Macaca mulatta: one gene and its partner. The protein of the gene in region 1 purifies or fractionates together with the protein of each later gene. This does not show direct contact. Links are inferred from orthologs where the notes say so. Each region holds a gene or a part of one and is shown on either strand. Other genes may lie near its edges.

Region 1 (2,992 bases):
GCATCAATACTTAGAATGTAGGGAAGAAAAAAGGAAAAAATAAGTATAAACTACATCTACAAAGCAGAACCAAGTTGTAAAAACAATAACCAGACATTCCATTTCTGGAAATAGATCTTAAGGAAATAATTAAGAATATAAACAAAGATTTAACTACAAGGACATTGCATCAAAGTATAGTTTATAATAGTGAGAAATTATGAACAACTGAAATATCTACTGGACTGTAAATTATTACATCCATATAGCTGAATATTTAAAAAGATATTCATATATATGTGTGTGTGTGTGTATGTATATATGCACACATTTTTTTTTTTGAGACAGAGTCTCACTCTATCGCCTAGGCTGGAGTGCAGTGGTGTGATGTCGGCTCACTGCAGTCTTCGTCTCTCAGGTTCAAGCAATTCTCATGCTTCAGCCTCCCGAGTAGCTGGGATGGCAGGCGCCTGCTAGCACACCTGGCTAATTTTTGTATTTTCAGTAGAGATGGGGTTTTGCCATGTCGGCTAGGCTGATCTCGAACTCCTGACCTTAAGTGATCCACCCTCCTCTGCCTCCCAAAGTGCTGGGATTACAGGTGTGAGCCACAGCTCCCAGCCTTCTTGGATATATTGACATGGAAAGGAGTTAAAGGTTAACTTAGTAAACGAGGATATCCAGATGTCCAATAACCGTGCTCAACATTACTCATCATAGAGAAATACAAAATAAAACCACAATGAGATACCAATCCACGGCCTACCAGAAAGGCTTAAATTAAAATCAGACTGGCCTGGCACAGTGCTTCACGCCTGTAATCCCAGCACTTTGGGAGGCCTAGGTGGATGGATCACTTGAGGTCAGCAGTTGGAGACTAGCCTGGCCAACATGGTGAAACCCTGTCTGTACTAAAAATACAAAAACAAAAACTAGCCAAGCATGGTGGGTGCCTGTAATCCCAGCTACTTGGGAGGCTGAGGCAGGAGAGTCACTTGAACCCGGAAGATGGAGGTTGCAGTGAGCTGAGATCGCACTGCTGCACTCTAGCCGGGGCGACAGAACAAGACTCCCTGTCAAAAAAAAAGACTGGGCACTGTGGCTCACACCTGTAATCCCAGCACTTTGGGAGGCTGAGGCAAGCAGATCACAAGTTCAGGAGTTCAAGACCAGCCTGGCCAACATGGTGAAACCCCATCTCTACTAAAAATACAAAGAATAACTGGGTGTGGTGGCTTGCTTCTGTAATCCCAGCTATTCAGGAGGCTGAGGCAGGAGAATCATTTGAACCTGGGAGGCAGAAGTTGCAATGAGCCGAGATCACGCCATTGCACTCCAGCCTGGGCAGCAGGGTGAGACTCCATCTCCCAAAAAAAAAAAAAAAAAATCAAGCCAAAAATAATAACATCAAATTTTAGCAAGCATGCAGAGTGACCACAGCTTTCATGTGAAATAGTATTGCCATTGGGGGACAGGTTGGCAGGGCCTAATAAACCTGAATGCACATATACCCTGTGATCCACCAGTTCTCCTACATTGTGCCGATCAGACGTGCATAACATTGTGAACCAAAAGACACATAGCAGGATGATGCTAGCAACGTATTCATAGTAACTCCAAACTGGAAACAACCTAAACATCCATCAGGAGGAGAACGGGCGGATTGTGGTATATTCACACATTGGCATGTTACACAGCAATGAGAACCCCTGCCACATATAGCAGCATGGACAAATCTACAGAGACGGTACTGGGCGAAGGAAGCCAGACAAAAGAGTACATACTTTATGATTCCGTGTATGTATTTTAGTACTCTACTTGCCAGTTCTTTCTCAGTTGTGTGCCTTTTCTGAAAAGAACTCCCTTTTTCTGTTATGAAATTGTACTTTTTATTGGTCCCCTTATCTTCCTCACAGAGGTAGCTGAGGAGCTTGGGAGAGCCGCCTCCTCGTCATCTGTTGTTCCGTACCTGCCCCGGCTACCTATACTTCCTTCCAAGACTCGGACACTGAAGAAACAGGTGGAGAACAAGGAGAACATTGAAGGGGCACAGGATGCCACAGAAAATTCTGCTTCCAGTTTAGCACCAGGTATGGGTCTTTCGGCAGGTAGAATCAAAATAGAAACTGCTTTGTTGAAAGAAGCATGGAGTATGAGGCTTTTATGTTCACTTTCATGCCCGTCTTCCTGGAGGGAAGCATGGCGTCTCTTTTACCCACCCACAAAGCCCTTGGCTCCGCATTGCCAGTGTTGGTCGTCCTGATCTTTCCATCCAACATACAACTGTGGCTCCAGTTTCATCTCCTTAACCCTGGGTTCCCAAGTAGGTATCATCTTTACAGTTCCATCAAAAACTTCGCTGAACCTGATAGAGGAGAAGAGGTTGTGCGGTGGTTTTTAAAGAAAGGATGAGTGTTGAGGTAATAACCGGCGGGTTATCTCCTCCCTGGCTTTTTTTTTTCTTTTATTTTGAGATGGAGTCTCACTCTGTCGCCCAGGCTGGAGTGCAGTGGCCGGATCTTGGCTCATTGCAAGCTCCGCCTCCTGGGTTCACGCCATTCTCCTGCCTCAAACTCCCGAGTAGCTGGGACTACAAGCGCCCGCCACCACGCCCGGCTAATTTTTTGTATTTTTAGTAGAGATGGGGTTTCACCGTGTTAGCCAGGATGGTCTTGATCTCTTGACCTCCTGATCCTCCTGCCTTGGCCTCCCAAAGTGCTAGGATTACAGGCGTGAGCCGCCGTGCCCGGCCCCCTGTCTCCCCTGATTTTTAAAACTCATATCACGTTTGGAACACCAGTCACCGTGAAATGATAATGTATTTATTATTTATCTCTGAGTCCTGCCAACACCTGACACTTGATAAATGCTGACAAAACTCTTATAATGCTGCCTCGGTAATTCAAATGTGATAGATTCACTTCTTGTCTTTTAAGTTACTGATCGGCCATTTCTCGTCAGGGTTCGTCAGAGGTGCACAGGCCTCCAGTGGATCCCCAGCACTGCCTCGAAA
Region 2 (4,519 bases), on another chromosome or scaffold:
TCCTGGGCCAGCCCAAAGTCACTCCGCTCAGTAAGTGGCTGCCCCCCTCCTTTCAGCTTCCTCACTGGTGACAGTTTTCTCCTTCCCACATACGCACAGGACCGTGACCCTGCTGTTCAGAGCCAGGGGGACCCTCAGAGCAGCTGGCACCGCACCCAGGATTCTCATCTTCCTGCTGCAGACAGGCAGACCCACAGGCCCCTCAGGGTCTGCCCAGCCAGGCTCCTGTGGTGCTGCTGGGCCCTCCCACTCCGCTGGCACTGGCCTGGACTCCTCCTCTGCCCTCCTCGAGGCCTGCACAGCTGTGGCTGTGGAGCCGACCTGGCCAGGCAAGGCTGCTCTCTCCATCCCTGAGCCGCCTGCCACCTCCCGCTCCTGAAGATCTGCCTCTTGGGGCTCCCCTGACAGAGAAGACAGCTGAAGTCAAAGCCACATCCTCTTGCTGACCTTGGATGCAGGCTCTCCGGCCTCAGGGCCAGGGAGCCAGGCCCCACTGTGCAGGAACTCTGAGTCAGACGTGATATCTAGGGGGGCTGTCCACCCTGGCTGGGGCTGGAGGCAAGATGCCAGGCCCCCCAGGTTTTCTCAGGGCAGTTCTTGGTGTCTGCCTCTCAGATTTCAAGGACTAGAATTAAAACCTTTCCTGGGATTCTGGTGTGCCCCGTGTATGTGTGATTTACCTTGCAAGAGAATCAGGGCTTCTGTGGGGAGCACCTGAACCAGGCTGACTTCTGAGGTGCCTGCAGATTGCCACTCCTTGCACTGCCCAGCAGAGGCTGGAGCACTGTGCGTGGGGCCACACTGGGGAGGGGGAGGTGGGTGCTGGGCTGCCTGGCACTGGGCAGAGAACATATGGTGCCAGCGGAGTGCCTCGGGTGGGGAGGATGGGTGCGTGTGCTTGAAGCCTGGGTCATGTCTGCACCTGTCCCAGTTGCCTGGCAGATTGGCAAGGCAGGCTGGCAGAGCCTGCATGCGTAGGAGGCAGCCGGCAGCAGCACCATGTGCTAACGACCTCACAGCCAGACTCCCCCTGGTTAGTGCTGAGTGTCAGAACCACCCCCAGAACCTCAGTTAAGCAAATAGGTTGGTTTCCATGGAGACGTGGCATATTTTCTCCATGGCAACCTAAAATCCTAAAACCCATGTTCAGGAATGAGTCATCTATGGACAGTAGAGGGTGCTCTCCCACAAGGCTGACCTGAGGCCAGGGGCAGATGAGCAACTGACCACAGACCCAGAGGTGCCCCCAGAGTGTGGCTGGGGCCTGCGGGGACTGAGTCGGCCGTTTAACCACTTCCCGCCCACCTGTGCAATTTGAGGAGCTGGTGAGGCTGCAGGAGGCCCTGTGTGGAGGTGGCACCCCCCAGCTGGGGCCCTCAGAGCAGGGCTAGCACGGAGGGGATCCCTGACCCCCGAAGCAGGGTCCAGAACAGAGGAGGCAGGCACTGGCCAGGCGGGGTGGACACACAAGAGTTAACAGGCGGGTGTGACAGGCGGACCGCCCTCAGGAAGTGTTACTCACTGGGGATGTGCGTGCCTTGCCTTGGGGTTGGATTCTCTTCCTGAAGCCGAAGGAGCTCCCAGCCATGGAAAGCCCTGGAGAGTCAGGCACGGGCCCTCCGGGAGCCCCCAGCCCATCCAGCTTCACTCCTGGGCACCTGGAGACAGAAAAGTTAGTGAAGTTGGCAGGGCAGCCAGGTGGGGCAGGGAGGGGCTGCGAGAAGAGGGTCTATCTGGGGACGGAGAAGGTGGGAAACCTGGGAGCGGGGAAGAGGAGAGCAAGGGTCCCAGCCCCTGGCTCCCTGCTCAGATCTGGATGCCCGCCCTCAGGCCAGCCCAGGACCCACTGTATGACGTGCCCAATGCCAGCGGCGGGCAGGCAGGCGGGCCACAGCGGCCGGGACGCGTTGTGAGCCTGCGGGAGCGCCTGCTGCTCACCCGGCCTGTGTGGCTGCAGCTGCAAGCCAACGCAGCCGCGGCACTGCACGTGCTGAGGACCGAGCCCCCGGGGGTGAGTCTTGCCCCCAACCTCCAGGGACTGGCCAGCCAGGGGTGGGAGGGAGAAGGGTGGGATGCCAAGGTCCTGAGCTGCCTGAGCCCTATCCACTTGCAGACGTTCCTCGTGCGGAAATCTAACACCCGACAGTGCCAGGCCCTGTGCATGCGACTGCCCGAAGCCAGCGGCCCCTCCTTCGTCTCCAGCCACTACATCCTGGAGAGCCCTGGCGGTGAGGGGCTGGCCTGGCAGGAAGGGGCTGGAAGGAGGGAGGTTCCCTAGAGAAGCACCTCACTTCCCTCCTCTCTCAGGCGTCTCCTTGGAGGGCTCGGAGCTCATGTTCCCAGACCTAGTCCAGCTCATCTGTGCCTACTGCCACACCCGGTGAGTCTGCCTGCAGGGTGCCCTGTGTCCACGGGCCCTGCTCCTTGGGACAGCCCATCCTCCCCACCCCCTTCGGCCCTCACTCCCTTCTGCTCCCCTCTCTGGCCTCAGGGACATCCTTCTCCTCCCGCTGCAGCTCCCCAGAGCCATCCACCGTGCAGCCACCCACAAAGAGCTGGAGGCCATCTCCCATCTGGGCATTGGTAAGAGCTCCTTGCCACCCATTGCACAGATGAAAAAGCTGAGGCTGAGGGGAGGGGAAGGCTCGCAGCACACGGCCCGAAGCCCATGCCTTTCCTTGCTTGGGAAACTTCCCCTAACCAATCCTGGAGGCCCCAGTTGGTTTCTTGTTCCCTAGAGTTCTGGAGCTCCTCCCTCAACATCAAGGCTCAGCGGGGCCCGGCTGGAGGCCCAGTGTTGCCCCAGCTGAAGGCCCGGTCCCCTCAAGAGCTGGACCAGGGCACCGGAGCCGCCTTGTGCTTCTTCAACCCCCTGTTCCCGGGGGACCTGGGGCCCACCAAGCGGGAGAAATTCAAGAGAAGCTTCAAAGTGCGCGTGTCCACAGAGACTTCCAGCCCCCTGTCTCCACCTGCCGTGCCGCCTCCCCCCGTCCCTGTGTTGCCAGGGGCAGTCCCCAGCCAGACAGAGCGGCTGCCCCCTTGCCAGTTGCTGCGGAGGGAGAGTTCAGTGGGGTACCGCGTGCCAGCAGGCGGTGACCCTAGCCTTCCGCCTATGCCCTCCCTCCAGGAGGTGGACTGCGGCTCCCCCAGCAGCTCCGAGGAGGAGGGGGCGCCAGGGTCCCGGGGGAGCCCAGCGACCTCACCCCACCTGGGCCGCCGGCGGCCTCTGCTTCGGTCCATGAGTGCCGCCTTCTGCTCCCTACTGGCGCCGGAGCGGCAGGTGGGCCGGGCCGCGGCGGCACTGATGCAGGACCGACACACAGCCGCAGGCCAGCTGGTGCAGGACCTACTGACCCAGGTGCGGGCCGGGCCTGAGCCCCAGGAGCTGCAGGGCATCCGTCAGGCACTGAGCCGGGCCCGGGCCATGCTGAGCGTGGAGCTGGGCCCTGAGAAGCTGCTGCCGCCTAAAAGGCTGGGTGAGGCTCCGTCTCTCCATAGCTCCAGCACTGCCCCATCCGACCCTCTGCTCCCCTCCACAGCGCCAGCCTGTCTGATTCTGTTCTGCTGCTTTACAAACCCACCCTGTCTTACCACTGTTCGAGAGAGTTCCATCCTCTCTCTCCCCAAACTCTTCTGTCTCACCCAGGCTACCTCCTCCTGCTTTCCTTGCCTCTCCTCTCCGATTCTACCCCTGCTCCCTTCTCCCCTGGCCTCTGTCCCCCATCTCCCCAGTCTTCCCCTGACCCCTCCCTGCCCCTCCTCTGGCAGAACATGTCCTGGAGAAGTCATTGCATCGCTCTGTGCTCAAGCCTCTCCGGCCCATCCTGGCAGCCCGCGTGCGGCGCCGGCTTGCCGCAGACGGCTCCCTGGGCCGCCTAGCTGAGGGCCTCCGCCTGGCCCGGGCCCAGGGTCCCGGAGCTTTTGGGTCCCACCTGAGCCTGCCCTCCCCAGTAGAGATGGAGCAGGTGCGCCAGAAGTTGCTGCAGCTGCTCCGCACCTACTCACCCAGCGCCCAGGTGAAGCGGCTCCTGCAGGCCTGCAAGCTGCTCTACATGGCCCTGAGGACCCAGGAGGGTATGTCTCTGCCACCACCTCACCCTGCCCTGCCCCTCTGAGTTGGAGGTGGGACCCCCAGTGGCAGGTCCCCAGGACCCTGGAATGGCCCTGCGGGAGACAATGAGCCCACCCTCCCATCTTGCAGATTGCGAAACTGAGGCCCAGAGAGCAGTGCGTTGTCTCCGAAGCCCTGCCATGGTTGCTAGGCCATGGGGAGGGGTCACTGCCTAAAGCAAGGACTGCACCTGAAGCTTCTTCCTCTCACCATGTCCCCACAGGGGAGGACGCGGGTGCTGACGAGTTCCTGCCTCTGCTGAGCCTCGTCTTGGCCCACTGTGACCTTCCTGAGCTGCTGCTGGAGGCCGAGTACATGTCAGAGCTGCTGGAGCCCAGCCTGCTCACCGGAGAGGGTGAGGGACCCCCACCCACTTCCCTGCCTGGGTGGGCCCTGAATAAGCAGGGA

Evidence for each region.
Region 2: the proteins of ABL2 (region 1) and RIN1 purify together in Homo sapiens (co-immunoprecipitation; 3 studies listed by BioGRID and IntAct, counting the BioPlex papers as one, with this or other methods). This does not show direct contact. The link is inferred for Macaca mulatta from reciprocal best matches to the Homo sapiens genes ABL2 and RIN1.

Annotation. Positions count from the first base shown.
Region 1 is NC_133406.1:36,518,039-36,521,030, reverse strand, and holds part of ABL2 (tyrosine-protein kinase ABL2), read left to right. Parts: intron 1-1,895; coding exon 1,896-2,069; intron 2,070-2,940; coding exon 2,941-2,992. UniProt on the Homo sapiens protein: Non-receptor tyrosine-protein kinase that plays an ABL1-overlapping role in key processes linked to cell growth and survival such as cytoskeleton remodeling in response to extracellular stimuli, cell motility and adhesion and receptor endocytosis.
Region 2 is NC_133419.1:8,087,781-8,092,299, forward strand, and holds the start of RIN1 (ras and Rab interactor 1), read left to right. Parts: upstream 1-1,553; 5' UTR 1,554-1,586; coding exon 1,587-1,672; exon of another isoform or gene 1,673-1,698; intron 1,699-1,830; coding exon 1,831-2,011; intron 2,012-2,113; coding exon 2,114-2,228; intron 2,229-2,307; coding exon 2,308-2,380; intron 2,381-2,491; coding exon 2,492-2,583; intron 2,584-2,738; coding exon 2,739-3,476; intron 3,477-3,768; coding exon 3,769-4,074; intron 4,075-4,334; coding exon 4,335-4,466; intron 4,467-4,519. Other genes in the region: BRMS1 (breast cancer metastasis-suppressor 1), read left to right, coding at 100-107. UniProt on the Homo sapiens protein: Ras effector protein, which may serve as an inhibitory modulator of neuronal plasticity in aversive memory formation. Can affect Ras signaling at different levels. First, by competing with RAF1 protein for binding to activated Ras.